Bombyx mori: one gene and its partners. The protein of the gene in region 1 interacts with the protein of each later gene in a biochemical or structural test. Links are inferred from orthologs where the notes say so. Each region holds a gene or a part of one and is shown on either strand. Other genes may lie near its edges.

Evidence for each region. The genes of interacting proteins can lie anywhere in the genome.
Region 2: the proteins of cullin-5 (region 1) and ring box protein form a complex in vitro, tested with the Homo sapiens proteins (4 studies listed by BioGRID and IntAct, with this or other methods). The link is inferred for Bombyx mori from reciprocal best matches to the Homo sapiens genes CUL5 and RBX1.
Region 3: the proteins of cullin-5 (region 1) and protein big brother form a complex in vitro, tested with the Homo sapiens proteins (4 studies listed by BioGRID). The link is inferred for Bombyx mori from reciprocal best matches to the Homo sapiens genes CUL5 and CBFB.

The regions. Positions count from the first base shown.
Region 1 is NC_085129.1:7,723,548-7,728,921, reverse strand, and holds the end of cullin-5, read right to left. Parts: intron 4,758-5,374; coding exon 3,127-4,757; intron 2,007-3,126; coding exon 1,869-2,006; 3' UTR 1,825-1,868; downstream 1-1,824. UniProt on the Homo sapiens protein: Core component of multiple cullin-5-RING E3 ubiquitin-protein ligase complexes (ECS complexes, also named CRL5 complexes), which mediate the ubiquitination and subsequent proteasomal degradation of target proteins.
Region 2 is NC_085119.1:7,171,018-7,176,446, forward strand, and holds ring box protein, read right to left. Parts: upstream 3,056-5,429; 5' UTR 2,997-3,055; coding exon 2,904-2,996; intron 2,812-2,903; coding exon 2,784-2,811; intron 2,719-2,783; coding exon 2,597-2,718; intron 2,520-2,596; coding exon 2,434-2,519; intron 2,273-2,433; coding exon 2,260-2,272; 3' UTR 1,926-2,259; downstream 1-1,925. Other genes in the region: histone-lysine N-methyltransferase KMT5B, read left to right, coding at 1-723. UniProt on the Homo sapiens protein: E3 ubiquitin ligase component of multiple cullin-RING-based E3 ubiquitin-protein ligase (CRLs) complexes which mediate the ubiquitination and subsequent proteasomal degradation of target proteins, including proteins involved in cell cycle progression, signal transduction, transcription and transcription-coupled nucleotide excision repair.
Region 3 is NC_085110.1:9,018,659-9,025,244, reverse strand, and holds the start of protein big brother, read right to left. Parts: upstream 4,226-6,586; 5' UTR 3,965-4,225; coding exon 3,797-3,964; intron 1,592-3,796; coding exon 1,412-1,591; intron 1-1,411. UniProt on the Homo sapiens protein: Forms the heterodimeric complex core-binding factor (CBF) with RUNX family proteins (RUNX1, RUNX2, and RUNX3).

The DNA.
Region 1 (5,374 bases):
CGTTTCTGACTCTTTCAGGGTTATCGCCAGGCCCGGGCTTTATATATAAATCATATCGAACTATTTGGAGCTATTTGGTTTAAGCGACATTTTTGCAGCATTACAGGAGTCATTTAAAGCTTAAAATTTGAATAAAATATAACAAAAAAAATGCTTCAGATGTTCGAATGGGGTAAAGATAACTGATGTTCAATTAAAAACTTAGAACCTTTGATACCAATACCAAATAAAACGCACCTTTAAATACAAAGATAAATGTCACTTAAAACAAATAGCCTTTCACCCCTCGATATACAGTATTTAATAATAGCATTGAATAAATATTTCAACTAACAATAAAAACATTTTTTTAAAGGTCCTCTGCGAGTATATAACAAAAAAGATTCCCGTACCCCTAAGGGATTTCACATCGCCTCCTCGTATGATTGTTATTCGTTCATTCGATGTAAATAAGCCTGGTTGCGAGGTTGACGATCTACGGGGTGGCGTGGCAGGAGGATCAATTCTTCAAGGAGTTCTAACTGTCGGTATGGAAATCGAAGTACGTATTGTCTGTCATGGTAAATAAATAATAATAGTTAATATATTTTTCAACACATAAACACTTATTTCACAGGTGCGGCCTGGTTTAGTCAGTAAGGATGCAGATGGTAAATTAACTTGCCGACCCATATTTTCACGCATCGTTTCGCTGTTTGCCGAGCAGAATGAGCTACAGTATGCCGTCCCTGGTGGTCTTATTGGCGTAGGAACGAAGATCGAACCAACGCTGTGCCGTGCTGATAGACTTGTGGGACAAGTATGTTTATTTTAAGCATCTTTCAGCTGTAAAAATTACTTCCAAGATTGATATTTATAAGTTTAATTACTGACGATGGCACTGATAGGTTCTACCGTCCTGTCCATTTCTATCAATAATCAGTTATCAATTAAAGTTTGAAGGATGGGACATTGGACAACTCCCTAGGCGGGTGGCGGCATTCACATTTCTGAGGTTTTGGCACCGTTAACCATTTAATATCAGAGATGCGGCGTTACTCATCAAATGCAAAAAATAATACCTATTCTATGGATATTTTTACAATAGGCACTAACTTATTTCTGTTAATTTCGCAGGTATTAGGAGCAGTTGGATGTTTACCGGGAATTTTTGTCAAACTCGAAGTATCTTATTATCTTTTGAAACGTTTGCTTGGCGTGCGCACTGAAGGAGATAAAAAGGCTGCCAAAGTCCAAAAATTAGTCAAAAATGAGGTAATTAACAGTGGTACATTATTTAGAAACTACAGTAATGTCTTAGCACTATTTGGGCCGTTAGGTTGATCACACATCTATTGTAATTAAAGTTGCACATTAAATATTTTTTAGGTCCTCCTCGTAAATATTGGATCGTTAAGTACTGGCGGCCGAGTAATCGCCACAAAAGTTGATTTGGCTAAAATCGCCCTTACGAACCCTGTTTGCACGGAAATTGGAGAAAAAGTAGCATTGAGTAGAAGAGTAGAAAATCACTGGCGGTTAGTATCAATGCATAACTGGTATACCACATGTGCTTTGAAACAAGTTTTGTCAACATATTATTACTTATTTTCAGGTTAATTGGTTGGGGACAAATTCAAGGAGGTACAACTATAGAACCAGCCAACAACTAATTTTATGTTTTTTTTACATTTAATAATGTAAACTATGTTCTATGTATTTAATAAAATATTAACATAATATCAATATGCATTTATGTTACCTACCTTACAATTACTAATAAACAACACATGATATTTTGAACTATTAACAGAGACTACAGATATAGATATATAAACAGAGAAATAGAGTAAATAATTTATTGATTTTATTCATTTACATTATTGACTTTAGGCCATGTATATAAACGTGTTAATATCTTCGTCGTCGCGACGCATATATTTATGTTCAATAAGCCATTCTAATTGCTCTTTTATCATTTTCTTCGATGGTAGAAACATATTTTTTAGAATCTCTACCAGCTCGCTCTGCAAGGAATAAAAATAATAAAAATTTGTTACTTATTTATAAAGAGCGGACGGTTAGCGTGTTATGGTCATATTGTGATGCGTAGAGATGCACGTAAATAGGAGATGTATGGAAATTGTGGTATCCTGCAGGGGAAAAAAGGTCGACCGAAGAAGACATGGATGGAGTGTGAATGACGATATGAGAGAGAGAGGAGTGAGTGTTGAGATGACGGCTGATAGAGGAGAATACAAACATTGGCAGTGTCGATCCCACTTAGTGGTATAAGGTGGAGACAAGGAGAATGTATTTATTAGTGAACAATACAAGAAAAATCTTCAATTGGTGATCTTCGTCACTTCGTCAGCCCTTATCGTCTGAATTTCTGCTGCTTAGAATAAGATGTAATATTTGAATATGTGAACCCAACACACCTTTTCAATTATTTAAATACCATATAACATTTATTGGAGAATTAAGAATCATGAAAGCAATTACGAAAACATTGTCAAAACTTATTTATTTAAGCAAAGGCTTTCTTCCAAACCAATTTATTATACCTAAGTATGTTCAAATTTTTCTTTTGTTAAGTCATGGCAAAATTATAATCAATCATCATTTGTGCAGCATGAACTAGCTCAGTATCTACTTGGTATCAAGTGTGGTTACTGAAATATAAAAACACTACTACCCCATGTGGTAGAAGACCACTTTGCACTATTATGAGTGTAACCTGTAAGGAATACAGTACTTACTGATGCAATCTCCTAACACAAAAAGCTTACCTTAAGTATTTATATACATATTTGTTTTTAGTGGAAAGCATTCATGTACACATGTTTGGAACAGATATTCAAAGTTAACACAGTAAAAGCTCTTTATTCGCGCTTTCACTATTCGCTGATTAAAAAAATGCGACCTAATGCCTACGTTCGCGCCTAAAGATTTCTTGATTCACGAATCTCTATCTCGAAATCTAATCAGTACATACACATTGATATAAAAGATTCCAAGGTAGGAGGTCGAACCGAACATCCTTTGTAAACGCGCTTTTCCATATTCGCAGCATATTTAGGGAAAATATAGCCTGCAAATAGAGCTTTTACTGTACATCGAAACAAAAATATATAAGTTCCATACCTGAAGTGCTGTGTTTGTAATGCGTTTCCTCATCTTTAGTATTTTTATGATTGCCTCTTGAGTCCTCAATATTCTTAGCTGCACAATGGAATGATTATCTTCTATTTGAGATCTCTCTGTACTCAACTGAAGTCTTCCAATCAAATTTATTTTACCCCTACGTTGTGGTTTTCCATTCTTAATAAGCGCAAATTCCTGATTTACCCAAAATATTGTATTCTGGACAAAGTCTTTAGGATTTTGAATCAATGGATCATAGCACAACAATTGCCTTTTTAATTTTGGGAAAGCCACAAGAGACCATAAAGTCCTTCTCAGTTCAGGGTCTGGAAGTTCTGTTGCTAATCTCAAATTTTCATAACTTATTTTTTCCATAGGTCTTTGATTCCATGCAAATAGCACTGCCATTTGAAAAGTTGTAACATCCAAGTCAAAACGACCTACTGAATTAGCAAATGTTATAGTGCCATTGCTCATGTGATGATACCACTGCAATTTTCTACCTGAATGCTTTTTTTTATAAAACTCTTCAACTTCAGGAATATAGTCTTCTAATTCTAGTGGCAGACTTACTGTTACTCTTTCAGATCCACGGGCCCAAGCTCCAGCATTGAGTATTTTAATATTGATGGCATCATGACGAGTTGTGTCTGCCCTAAATTGTGTATTCAGATCCTCACTTACTTTTACATCTTGAAACATTCGTGCTAATTTATTTACATAGTCTGCAGGCATACCTACTTCACGTAACCACTCTACCATATCCTCTTCTTTTTCAGAGTCCGCACTTGAGTCTAATATCAATCTTCTTGTTAAATGAACCTTATGATACCTCATAAATACATCTTTGTTTTCAATATATTTCAAAACTAACAAAACGTCTCTTAATCTTATTTCTATCTGTTCACTAGTTAATCTTTTACTTAGCGGTGTTTTTCGTAATAACATATCACAATAGTTAGCGAGAAGTTCAGGGCACTTGCTTTCAGGAGCTGTACCTTTACTACCACGGGCAAGAGTTGATGAAGGCAACTCAAGTTTAAAAACAGTTGTATCATTTACCACGCATTTATAGGCCTTGTCCCTGGCAGTTAAAAACCTTGGATCATCCAAGAAGGCATCTTTAACTAACATACTAAATTTTCTGAATAAATCCAACAAACGCTCTACATACTTTTCAGAGTCTGTTGTTATGATATCTGCTGATGCAACCATGTCAGCTAAGCCTGCAGATACTATATGGGCTTCTAAATCTCTCAATATCGGCACGACTCCTTCTGGGACCCTATCCAATAAACGAAACATAAGTTGCAACTTTTCTGTCTCACCAGCTTTAATCAATGTAGCACTTTCAGCTAAAAGTGTTGGAAGATGCTCTCCAATAAGTACTCTTTCACAACATTGAGTTAATGCAGCTACACTACCACTTCCTGGCTCCAAATATCGGTGAGCACGAGCCTCTTCTTCTTTGAGACGTTGATCAGCATACTTCATATATGACTGAACTCCATTGGCAAGCAAATGTTCACTTGCTTTCAATTTATAAAATTCTTCTGTGGCTTGCATATATGCAGCTTCAAAATTCTCTCTGTAGATTTGCAATTTATCTATTGTGTTTGAGCACAAATTAACTGTCAAAAGAAAAAACATTTTATATAATTTAAAAAGTGTAACCCTCCATATTACCCCTTTTTAATAAAACAGTGTTTATCAATATCATATAAATAGTATATATGAATAGTATTTATCAACTTTGTATGGTTCAAGTACTCAAGTATTATTATAATATGCTAATAACGTACTATTTTAAACTTTATTCTCAACATGAAAATACAGTGTTAGGTAGTAAAATAGCCACTGTAATACTGATAAAATAAAAAATAATATCAATTAAATAGACTGCAATTTATAACTAACAGTAAACTAACTGTACTTTAATGTTAGCAACAAGAATGTTAGTTAAAGCTTTAAAGCTGTCTGCTTTAAAGCGACCTGATCAAATAAAAAGTCAATTTCATGGCTGCCACTCATTGTAATAAAATGTGCCAAATAGTGAATAAAATCGAAGGGAATATAGGAAAAGTGATTATGTGGTCGACACATTGACTAAAGAATTTATTATTCATGTTGTGTGATGATGATTGCATATCGGATACCAAATATGCAGATGATTTCGATCATTACACATATTATGATGATGAAGATGATGTTCCTGCCGCTAGCACTAGCAATTTTGGAGAAAGTGATG
Region 2 (5,429 bases), on another chromosome or scaffold:
TTAGAAATTTCCAATTTTGACATTAAACCCGACCTACCTATTGTAAATGATAATGAACACAGTTCAGATTTGAATTCTTTTGTGTATACTGATACCCATTTAGGTGGTAAGAATTGTGATAAAAAAGAATCTCTAACTGAAACAGACCTGCCTATAGCTACAGCGACAGAGGATAAAATAGAAATTATAGAAAGTAAATCAAAGGTTCAAAAAGAACCTGATGAAATTGATTGTACGGTGAGAAATGAAAATTCGTCTTTAAAGAGTGGAATTGATTTTAGGGAAAATGTAAATCCAAGTGAGCCTAACAATAGTAAAAACAATAAGGTTCAAAAAATAGAAATAAGCAATAGAAGTGATGAGTCAAAAAGAGAAGTTGATTCTGGACCTCCTTGGTTAGTGGATAATTCTAATAAAAGCAGTGATTGCCCTTGTACTCCACCAAGGCGTGGATTGAAGTTGACATTACGTGTAAAACGAAGTCCTGTTGTTGAAGAGGTAATGGATTGTGGAGCACCTGCTGAAGCACCAGAGTATGAAGTTTTACGATTAGAAGGTGTCGATCCCGAAACTGCTAGACGCTTGAAGAAACGACGTCGATCCAAGGAACGACATCGAAAACATAGTCCTGTCCGTCCTCTGCCTCCAATGAAACGCCTAAGATTAATTTTTGGCAACGAAAGTCGCACTATCGATTTGCCTACAGCTTTATCAGCAGACTGACAGCCGCAACTACCTTATTGTTGTTTCCACCGTTATTTTCAATAATTAGTATAATTATCACTGACTAGAATTATTTTACCTAGTATTTATTTTGTGATGTAAAATTTGGAAATTTGAGTATTGTGTGATAGGTTTTGGATTTTATTTGATGATTCCAATATTTATTAAATCCAATAGTGAAATAATGTCATTATTATTTAATTAGCACAATTATTTTTCCCGTTTTCATTAAAGAACAAAAATTACAATTAAATCGTAGTAATAAATGAATTATAGTGTATTAATAGTATCATGTAAATAATTGTAAAAAAAGTGTTCTTTGTAATGGTAATTTTAATTAACTTAATTATGATAACTCACAGGATCTTAATTAGTTAGCATATTGTACTTATTGAGAAATTATTAATCAATTGTTATCCACATTGCAAAAGATAAAAGACAAAAGTTGATTACTTAATATGTAAAAACTTGTCTGTGGAAAGCAAAACTAGTACTGACATATTTGAACTAGGTATCATGGATTAATTTTGTAATGAGCATTGTTGTTGAGTGCTGACTTCAAGTAAAGTTGTTGTTTATTCCTTTATTTATCAATTACAATTATTTAGTGTTACAAACTATTGAATAAATTGTTTCGTAACAGTTGAATCTAATCCCAAAATAATGATCCAAATACATGCCAGCGTCCAGGACTAGAATGAATCAAGAGAAGCCAAAGTGTAATGTGAACTGAACCTTGAAATTTGCTTGCAAATTTGTGGTATTGATTGTTGGTTGTTTGTAAATTTCTTGTTTATCTCCAAAATTGAGTAAGCATTTTGTACTTTGACTAATACTTCTCTTGATTCTAAGCATTTTTTAAAATATCTGCCAGTGACTTATATGAAAAATAATATTTGTTTCTTTACTATTCATTATTCATATGAAGTATTTTGTGAAATATTTACAAATGAAATGGGGTTTGGATACCAATATTACAACAGACTGTTAAATGTGGTTCACAATATTTTAGAACATTGAAACTTTCATTTGGTATATCATAATGAGCCTAGTTTTATGTTACTAAGGTACAGTATAGTAATAATATTTTGCTAGTTATGGCTACTAGCTTTTGTGATATTCCCTGGGAATGGGTATAAAAATCAGAAAAGTTCCACAATGTTAACAAATTAGTGACTGTAAAATAATAATTAAATAAATATCACAATAAAATGCCTCTGAAAATTCTTTTTATACTTTATTGAGTAATTTATGTAATTTTTATTTACCTTGTAATTTATAACGTGCTTGCAAGAATATCTTGGAGTGACTTGCTTCCATTAAGTAAAATTTTTATTTATAATCATAGGAGTTTACTATTTTTATGCCAGATTATTATGAACAACAGATTTTCAACGAATTTTCAATTAAAATTCACATACAGAATTTTGTAAGAGTTATTTTATTATTACAAACTTAATAGATATTGACATGTTAATTCCCTATGTTCAGAAGATGTCAAACTCCTGTGCAGGATGCAGCTCTTCTAAATGACATTTAATGACCATACCTGTAAAAATATAAATATATTATTAATAGAATATATCTTGTCTATATTAAATGTGAACAAGTTTTGATACCTTATCATTGATTTATTTACCACTCAACCAATTTCAATATTAAAGTATTATACGGAATATATGGTAATATATCTTTATAAAATGTACTTGCTTTTGGAACTCCCATTCTCTATTGTCTAGTGGACAAACTTGTCGAGTCTTCAACCAACGGGAAATACAGTGGAAATGGAATGCATGCTGTAACAAAAACAAGCAATTAAATAAATTAGTTTTGAGTCAATAATGATTGTGTTTTCCAAAATTGGTACTCATACATTACAAACACCCCAAGCAACTGTGCATTCTTCACTAGTGGCTGAGGCTTGATTTGCTTGGCATTCGATACACAGATCCATTATGTGATTTCGGCAAATAGCACAGTTGTCGACAACAATATCTGGAAAGCAAAATCATGTTCAGAACGATGTAGAGGTTACGAAACTTTATTATCAAGAAACCTACCCCAAGCCCAGAGTGCTACTGCATTCCACTGTAACAAAATTGTTTACATTAAAACTAGAAACAACAAAGAAATTTTCAATATTAAGAGCTCAACAATGAGTTTGCAAAATGGCACCTCACCTTTTTTACTTCGAATCTTTTTTTATCTCCTTTGCCACTACTAGACGAAGCCATTTCAACTTCTTCTTCATCAACATCCATCACAGAAGCCATTTTCAAATTAAACTACCCCGTTTTATTAAAAAATAACCAAGAGTTGTTAGGTTGTGTATTATGTTTTTGACAGCTGAATCGAAATTTTAAAAACTTCATGTTGATTTGTTTTTTGACGTTTTTGACATTATTAGTGTTACAAGTACCGAAAATCGGCTTTTTATTTTGAAGATTATGGCCTGGTATCTAGACCTTTAGGCCAAAAATCGGCTTGTCAGATTAACAATGTTGCCAAGTTGTTAAATAAACTTTCCCGAAAAATCGTTTGTAATTAGAGGAATTAACATATTTCACTAACACCCGACTTTTCTATATAGTGCATCCAGATATGAATGTGTTCACCTCATTGTGTTTCAAAGTGTTATTTATTATACTGTATTTTTAAATCTTATCTATCTAAATCTTATTAATTATACGGTATTTTAATAAAATAAAAAATATTACAAAAACTATTTAAAAAAAACACTACATAAAACGATTATTGTCGCCGATGGCGGTGTCTACGACACAAGCTGTTAGGTCTCCAGAGTGAGAAACTTCCTCACAATATGCGCCGTATCAAGAATGACTGATTTTTGTACCAGACCCCAACCCAGCTGGATAACGAAAATGTTCACTATCAAACTTTGTACTGAAACTACTGGAACAATGATGGTTGAATCAACATGCCACATGGTGATAGTCTCGTGAATGAGGCCTAAATATTTTATTAATTTGTCCTTTCCTGTCTTTACTAGGTTCTCGTCATGAGGATGGTGATATCAACCAAAATTGCTCGATGTGCAGACCAATAACAATAACATGCTTATTGGCAACAATAGACCTATCCATGATAATAGATCGATTCCAGTAGAGCGTTACATGACCATTTTTAAGAATTTGCTGCTGAGGTTGGTATTAGTAATAAGGTACAGCAGAATCAACTAAGCTATATTTCAGAGCAAGCTGTTGATGGATAATCCCAGTCACTTGATTATGTCTATATCTTATTGATAGTGCTCTCACCACGATTGTTTATTTTAGTGAATTTCGCCTTTTTGTAAAGCGCCATGATCACGGTATATAAACCATTAATCACAGTAATTTTTTAATTTTTTTATTTCTCTCAATAAAAGTTGCAATGGTTTTGATGCATGTCTCCAAGCGCCGTGCTAATTTTTTAATGCCTTTCTTGAAGAAACCACGTGCATTGGAGCTAACAAACTCTTCAAAGACATTTTGTACTGCCTCTCGGGTATTGTATTTTTTCCTTGCAAAAAGAATTGTGCAACTTTGGAAAAAGTAGAAAGCTGTTGGCGCAGGTTCTGGTGAGTGGTGGATAACGTAAAACATCTAACCCTAGCGCCTGTAGTGTAGAGTCTGTAGGTTGTGCCATATGGGATCGAGCGTTGCCGTGTCGGAGCAGCGGGTACGAGTGATTAACCAAGGCTAGCCGGAGATTCGGAAATCTCCTCCATCATTGTTTCCAGTTCTTCACAGTTCACATAGTGAGTGGTAAAAAGCTGTTGAACATGACTTTTTTGAGTTACGTTTTAGTTTGGGTTATATCCTAAGTGCCAAACCAAGGTCTTACCAATATGATGATTGTTTACGGTTATTAAAGTGAATCCATTTTTTGTAGCATGTGACAGTGCGGCTTAAAATCCCTTTGTTTCTGTGTCTGGTAACCAACGCAAGGAATATTTTAAAGCCTTAATCGTTCTGGCGATCGTTGAGTTCGTGCGGCACGCACTTATCTAGTTTTTTTTTTTACCTTGACAATTTAACGTTGAAAGCTGCTGCTGACTCAGCAATAGATTGAGTAATCGTCAGCTTCCACACCGCCTTTAATTCGTCGCTGTTGACTTTAGTTTTCGACTTTAACTTTATTTTTCTGATTAAAATTACCGTTTCGGATGCCATTAAACCAATAAAGAATCGTGCGTTTGTTTGTAGTGTTCATGCAGATGCTAATAAAGTCTTCCAGGCTGAGCCCTGTCATCTTGCATGCACGTTCGGTGAAGCTAGCTAGAGTATAGCCCCTTGAGGTTATTACCAATTGGTAGGCAAAAAAAAATTGTGTTCACTCCGTACACGTAGTTAATGTTTTGAGCCGTTTGTGGCCATTATGAGGGCCAGTTGACCGCTCAGCATCTGTTTCACAAAATTCATTTTAGGCTTAATTGCTTAGATGCTTTTTTATTTATTGCTTAATTGCTTTTTTTAGTTGCTTAGATGGGTAGACGAGCCCACGGCCATCTTAAGTGGTCACCAGTGCCCATAGACATCAACAACGTAAATCCCGCCACCCACTTTGAGACTTGAATTCTAAGTATCAGTTCTACAGTACAACGGCCGCACCACATTTCAAACTGAAACGAATTACTGCTTCACTGCAGAAACAGGTACATAGTTATTACCGTGTAGTCTCAGAAAACACTTTACCATCAGTAA
Region 3 (6,586 bases), on another chromosome or scaffold:
TTACATAGGAGCAGACCTTACTAACACCTCTCCTGGAGAAACTGGAAAGGCATCCGGGCCACTAGTAATCCTTCAATCATCAAAAAAAATTTACCAATGTGCCAAGAAAACTTAAAGCAAACTACATAATATGTCGTTTGTACTTAATTAGGTTTCTACTACGAATAATAATAGTTTTATTATTCGTAGTGTTTCCGAGTTTAAAGGTTGGGTTTCTTTTTCAGTGTTCGTCATGAAACAAATGTACATCTTTAGAGAGAATATAAGAATAATATAGAATAAGAGAGTAATATAGAAGAGAGAGAATATAATCTTATCAAAATTATATTATTACGCTGGCTGTACACACTCGTCAAGACACCACGAAATAGGCCGAGGTTTTTTTATCCTACATATGCCGATAGCCTTGAGAGGCTATTTCAACTTCACCCTAGCGGGTAAGTGAGCTCTCGGGGCTCAAACCGGAAGTGTTGCTAACACTGGCCCTAGCAAGAGCAGTACTTTGCAGAATCTACCACCGGGTCGGAAACGCGACCCACTGAGAAGGTCCGGCGAGAAACTCAGTGGGTTGTGTCTATGGGTTAATTTACTTGCTGAGCCCCTCGACGCAAGCAACAAGCAAGGTTCAGTGAGGACGGTGAAAAAGACATGCTGAGGACGAGTGTGTACATGGCACCCTCGTCTCGTCTCGTGGCTCTGGGAAGCGTGTCGGTTTTTTGCGCTCGAGTCAAATGATCTCGGGAAGTTTCGCGATGAAAACGAGAGCGCGCCTGTACACACTCGTTCATTTAGTTGTCCGCCAACTGCGTCATCTTCTTCTAGGTCCATCGCAACGGGCATCCGAAGTTCATCACATTCGAGTGTGTACATGGTGTGGTCTCGTGTCGAGCCTCTAGGCGACGAGAGCAAGCGAGAGGCACGCGAAACCATGAGACGAGTATGTACAACCGGCATTAAGAACTACGCTGTTGATCCAACTGTCAGTTACAGTTAGGCATAGAAGAAAACCAATCACTTCATACATTTCAGTAAAATTCCTTTCGCATGTCAGTGATGAAAACTGTATCTAACAAAATATGTATAACTAACTTACTGGTCAGTGATATTTTTTTAGATACAACTTTATTCCAAATCACTGTAGTTGATAAGAAAGATACTTTATTTGAAACATACGAAACATAATTTAATTTAAAAACGAATAAGTAAATATTATTTTTTAAATTAATTATTTAATTTAATATTATTTACGATCTCTTCCAGAAGGCCGTTTACGCAGAGATTTTTTCAAACAAAACGCAGCTATGTAAAAATTACCATTTCAAAATTTCCTCACTTCATTCATCAGACGACCTGGCTACCATTGACCAGAAAACCGTTTCGATGTTTACGTAAAACAACATTTAAGACTTACTTTTCCATTTTCCTTTTGAAAGTCGCAGCCACGGTTGTTGTAGGGTGAGTGATCGAAGACAAGCTGAAGGTTTGTGCCGGTACCGGTAAACGCTATCTCCGTGTGTCCCTCGCGGCAACCGCTCATGAATCGCATCTGGCGTTCTTCGGGAGGCCGGTCTCGGTATCCAGTGTATCTAACCTGCCAACAAATATATCATCCCATAAATATACTGTTTATCTTGCGTATCAAAGCATTTTGAAAATCTATTTACATAAACATCATCTAGTGCGTAGTGCGCTAAAAAATAAATATTCACAATATGGACAGTAAGAGGAGTGCATTATACTATTGATATTTATAAATATATTCCTTCTTCAATTCGGTTAGTACACCGTGGATAATTTCTTTTAGGCTATTCTTGTCTACTTGATGATCGCTCTTGTAAATGCTTACTCGTTTTGATTTACAACAGAAGGTTTGCGAATCATTAAAAAAGTTATGAAATTCCTTCAGACAAGTTTGTGCAACAGAATGTGCAGCAGATTTTTTATTGCACGTGAAATAAGTAAACCTACTTATAATGATTATTTATTATTTCATTGTATTAGTCATTTATTTCCTATTTGGTCAATTAATTACTAAAGTTTATAGTAAATTTAAATAAAGCTTGAATAAATTAAATTCGAGCTATTAAAGATAAATCGTTAAATTGATTTGAATAAAATTTAATGCTGTGTTCATTTGCTGGTTTTTTTTAAATTCCTACCTAAGCCGAGCCTTGAGAGGCTATTTCAGCGTAACCTTAGCTAGTAGGTGAGCTCACGGGGTCAAACCGGAGTGATGCTTACACTGACCCTAGCAAGAGCAGTTCTTCGCAGAATCTACCACCGGATCGAAAACGCGACCCTCTGAGAAGGTTCGGCGAGAAACTCAGTGGGCTGTATCTATGATTTGGGATCATTCGACGAGTATAGGTTTCCTTTCCGTATGCTATTTAGTTTTATCCTAGGCTATTCCTCAGGTATTTCCAATAACTATTTACATGTATGTCTTTTTTTTTTATTGCTTAGATGGCTGGACGAGCTCACAGCCCACCTGGTGTTAAGTGGTTACTACACTAAGTGGTGGTATCTACAACGCAAATACGCCACCCACCTTGAGACATAAGTTCTAAGGTCTCAGTATAGTTACGACGGCTGCCCCACCCTTCAAACCGAAACGCATCACTGCTTCACGGCAGAAATAGGCAGGGCGGTGGTACCTATCCGTGCGGACTCACAAAAGGTCCCTACCACCGGTAATAAGTGTTTTCGTACTCGTCTGTTAATTTTCATAGATATGCCCTAAACATGGTTACAATGAATTATTTTACTGCTATTTATTCGTGCGATGTGGATTGAGCCGCTTAGATGTATGTACATACATACGTTCAAGTTTCTAACGATAACCCAGAACATCATTAACCTGTTTCCTAATTGTTATTTCCGCATATCGCTTTTGTATTTATTTATTTTTTTCCTCTTTTTTTTTCCTACCTATGCTGATAGTATTGAGAGGCTATTTCAGCTTCACCCTGACGTGTGTAGGTGAGCTCACGGGGCTCAAACCGGAGTGTTGCTAACACTGACCCTAGCAAGAGTAGTGCTTCGCAGAATCTACCACCGGATCGGAAACGCGACCCACTGAGAAGATCCGGCGAGAAACTCAGTGGGCTAATATCGCTTTGAAGTCTCATATTAAGTATACCTACTCCTTTTCATATCTTTCTGACTTGTTTTTTTTCTTCTTTTTGTGGGTGTATTGTAAATTCACAGCGAAATCCATGAATTCCATAAGATAAACATGAATTTATGATTTCTCTTTTAGTTAGATATGAAAGTTAGCATGCAGATTCAGTATTTAGGTCGGGTATGTACATAGTAATGCGTTTATTTTAATCAAAATTAAGTTCAGTAAATGATAATTGATAAGATAAGATAATAAGAAATAAATGAAATATGTTTGAAACTATTTTATGTTTCAATCAAAGAACCTTCTACTCGGTCAAACTTCGTACATTCTGATCGAAAAAGGTTTAAATCATCCTATCGTCAATTGTTCCTTGTAATAACATGTTATATGGAATTAAAAAATTAATAAAATTAAGAATTACAAATGTTTTAAATAAGTATTAGTGAATTTTCAATTTTTTTGTTATTATATTTATCATGTAGAACTAACTACTACTATAAGTTAAAGTATTTTACGCTAATTATTTGTCGATGACTAATATAACATTATACAAATGCATTATTTTCCTGTTTGTTTAAAGCATGGCTTAGCAATCGGACCATTAAAATTTAAAAACGAATACTCAATTCACTTTGCATACAATTGTTAAAGTTGGCATTTATAAAAACTCACCTCACTTTCTCTGCTAAGTCTTTTGAAGAGATCGTCTGATTCGAATTTGGCTTTTTGATCGGGCACTACACGTGGCATTTTGAAAATGAACCTTGGCTTTGGCTGCTCGTAGATAGAGTCAAAAGGCAACATGCCGGCCAACGGCGAAGGATCACTCATAGCGTGCATAACCTACGGCTCCTATAGCTTTGCTTGCACGGAACCAAACATCACTTAGCGCGCGTGCCTCACTGACTCAGCGTTACGAATGACTCAAATAATACGAATTGACGTACGTACTACGACACGACCACCTGCCTCCGTGACATTCCGGTACTGAATGAAATCTCATACCATGCTCTAGGGGAGAATTTTCATTAGGGCGGAGACTTAGCGTGGTGGGGAAGTGTGGAGCCAATACCCGTGCCCGAACGAAACGCCCGACGCCTTCTCTCAACGCTTTCGGGAGCTTTCGAGCGAAAAGAGGGTTTTCCCCTAACGAAACTGTTGAAAATAAATACTGTAAACGACAAAGCACATGAATTTATAATGATGGGCATTATCCTTTTTGGAAGTTTCGAGTGTTTTATATACTTGTATCGATGCTTTTGTTCCTTTGTAGCGAGATAAATGTATGTTATATACGACCGATTTATCAAGGGGTAGTCAAGCCAGGATGTCATACAGTGAAATGTGATATTTTTGTATGCTATTATACTTATTTTATAGGGCTACTTAAATTATTATTCTTGATTTCGATCCACGATAAAGCTAACAAGGATTTTCGTAACGCCATTATTCATGAATCAAATGTCAGTCTTTACCCTTACTCGATCTGTAAAGTACAATTTTAAAATGTTGTCACGTTAGCTTTCAATAATAATTAAAGAAAATATAAAAATAATATTTTTTCTACATATTTTATCTAACTAATCGTAATTAAAAAGTTTTCGAAGAGATTAGAAAACAAAATCAATGTGAAACATCTCAATCGGACGAATTTAAGTACTTCCATAATTTTTTTTAAAATACAATAGGCGGCACACATCCTGTGAAATGTATAAAGTGCACTTAAACTTATCTCTTGGTAAGTGTTTGCCGATAACTATCAGTTGTCGTCTTCTATTGTTAACAATACATCTTCGCAATAAGGCTGTCTCATACAGTAGAATATAGGTATGTACACTACTATTAAAACATTAACTATTCGAAATAATTTATTTGAATCTATCTAAGCTTAGTATTATAGAATTAGAGAGTGCTTTGGTTAACTATACTTGAGTCCAATTAATTTTCTTAGTCCGTTTTTCATTGATTGTTAAATTCTTTTCAAGTTATCCAAAAGGATAAGATGCCCGATGTACTCTTATCAAACGATGACATAATCAGGTCAGTGTTCATGGCAAATGCCTGCAGTGGCAGGCAGTACCAATTTTTTTAAACCAATTTACCTTTTTTTTAATAACATACGCATCACATCAGTGTTCAAGAACTACTTCCACCAACAAATAACAACATCGTGTAATAAAATGAAGCGGCGAAATTTTTGGTGGTGAGGCGTATATTATTTAAATCCACACCCATAAGTACCGCCGCCGTCTTGCTTATTTCAGCCGAAAAGCAGTCATGGGTTTCCGTTTGAAGAGAAACGTTTTACAATGGTACTTACTGGTGGTAGGACCTCTTGTGTGTCCGCGCGGGTAGGTACCACCACCCTGCTTATTTCTCCCGTGAAGCAGTAATGCGTTTCGATTTGAAGGGTGGGGCAGCCGTTGTAACTATACTGAGACCTTAGAACTGATATCTCAAAGTGGGTGGCGCATTTACATTGTAGATGTCTATGGGCTTCAGTAACCACTTAACACCAGGTGGGCTGTGAGCTCGTCTACCCATATAAGCAATAAAAAAAAAACTAATACAATTGAGACCTCAACTTCAAAGTAAGTTTGCTGGTTTATCGCCTATGTCAATATAAAAAAATGTATCACGCAAAAACTACCGTGGCCGAAATAAGTGTGAAAATTTTACTATTAAAAAGTTCACTATGGTTAAACTTTAAATTGCATATTGCTGCTGGAGATAAAGTCGAATTTGGTTTATTTATTTACTAAAATATTATGAACCAATAACTTAAACATAACTATTAAACCCATTATACAAGCGACAATACAAATAAAGTTAATGTTGATAGTTATATTTCTATAATTCATTTCTTTTTGTTTGTCTACTTCATATCAAACCTGTAACTTACAATGATAAAATTCATAACTTACCTAAACTACTGTATTATTGTGGGGCACGATTTTCATTTTCAGAAATTAATCACTTTCGCATCCTGACCAAAGATAAATGACAGCTTAGGAAAAGTATGCAATTGAAAAAAAAAATATTACTCGAAGTTCACATCGAGCTACGTAACATTAAAAAAAAACAATTATAATAATTAGCAATACACAGCAGAACGACTACATCAATAAAACATATTAAAATTCATATTCATATCTTACTAAGTGCACCCTGCATTTTGGACATTTCAATTTTATCACGTTTTTCGCTGTTATGAGAATAAGTGACACGTGTCGGCGTAGGCTGCTCTTTGATCTGTGCGTTACTCGTTATAAATGCCGGGCTTAATGCATGCAGGGTCGACAGTATATTCGTTCGTTTGAATCACTGAACATTTGTATTGTGGAAAATTGTTTTAGACTTCCTATGTTATAGAATACAGAAATATCGTCACACAAAAGTAAAAATAATATATTTATTCACAAATTAAAAATAATATATTTATTTTTCATTTTGTACCGAACA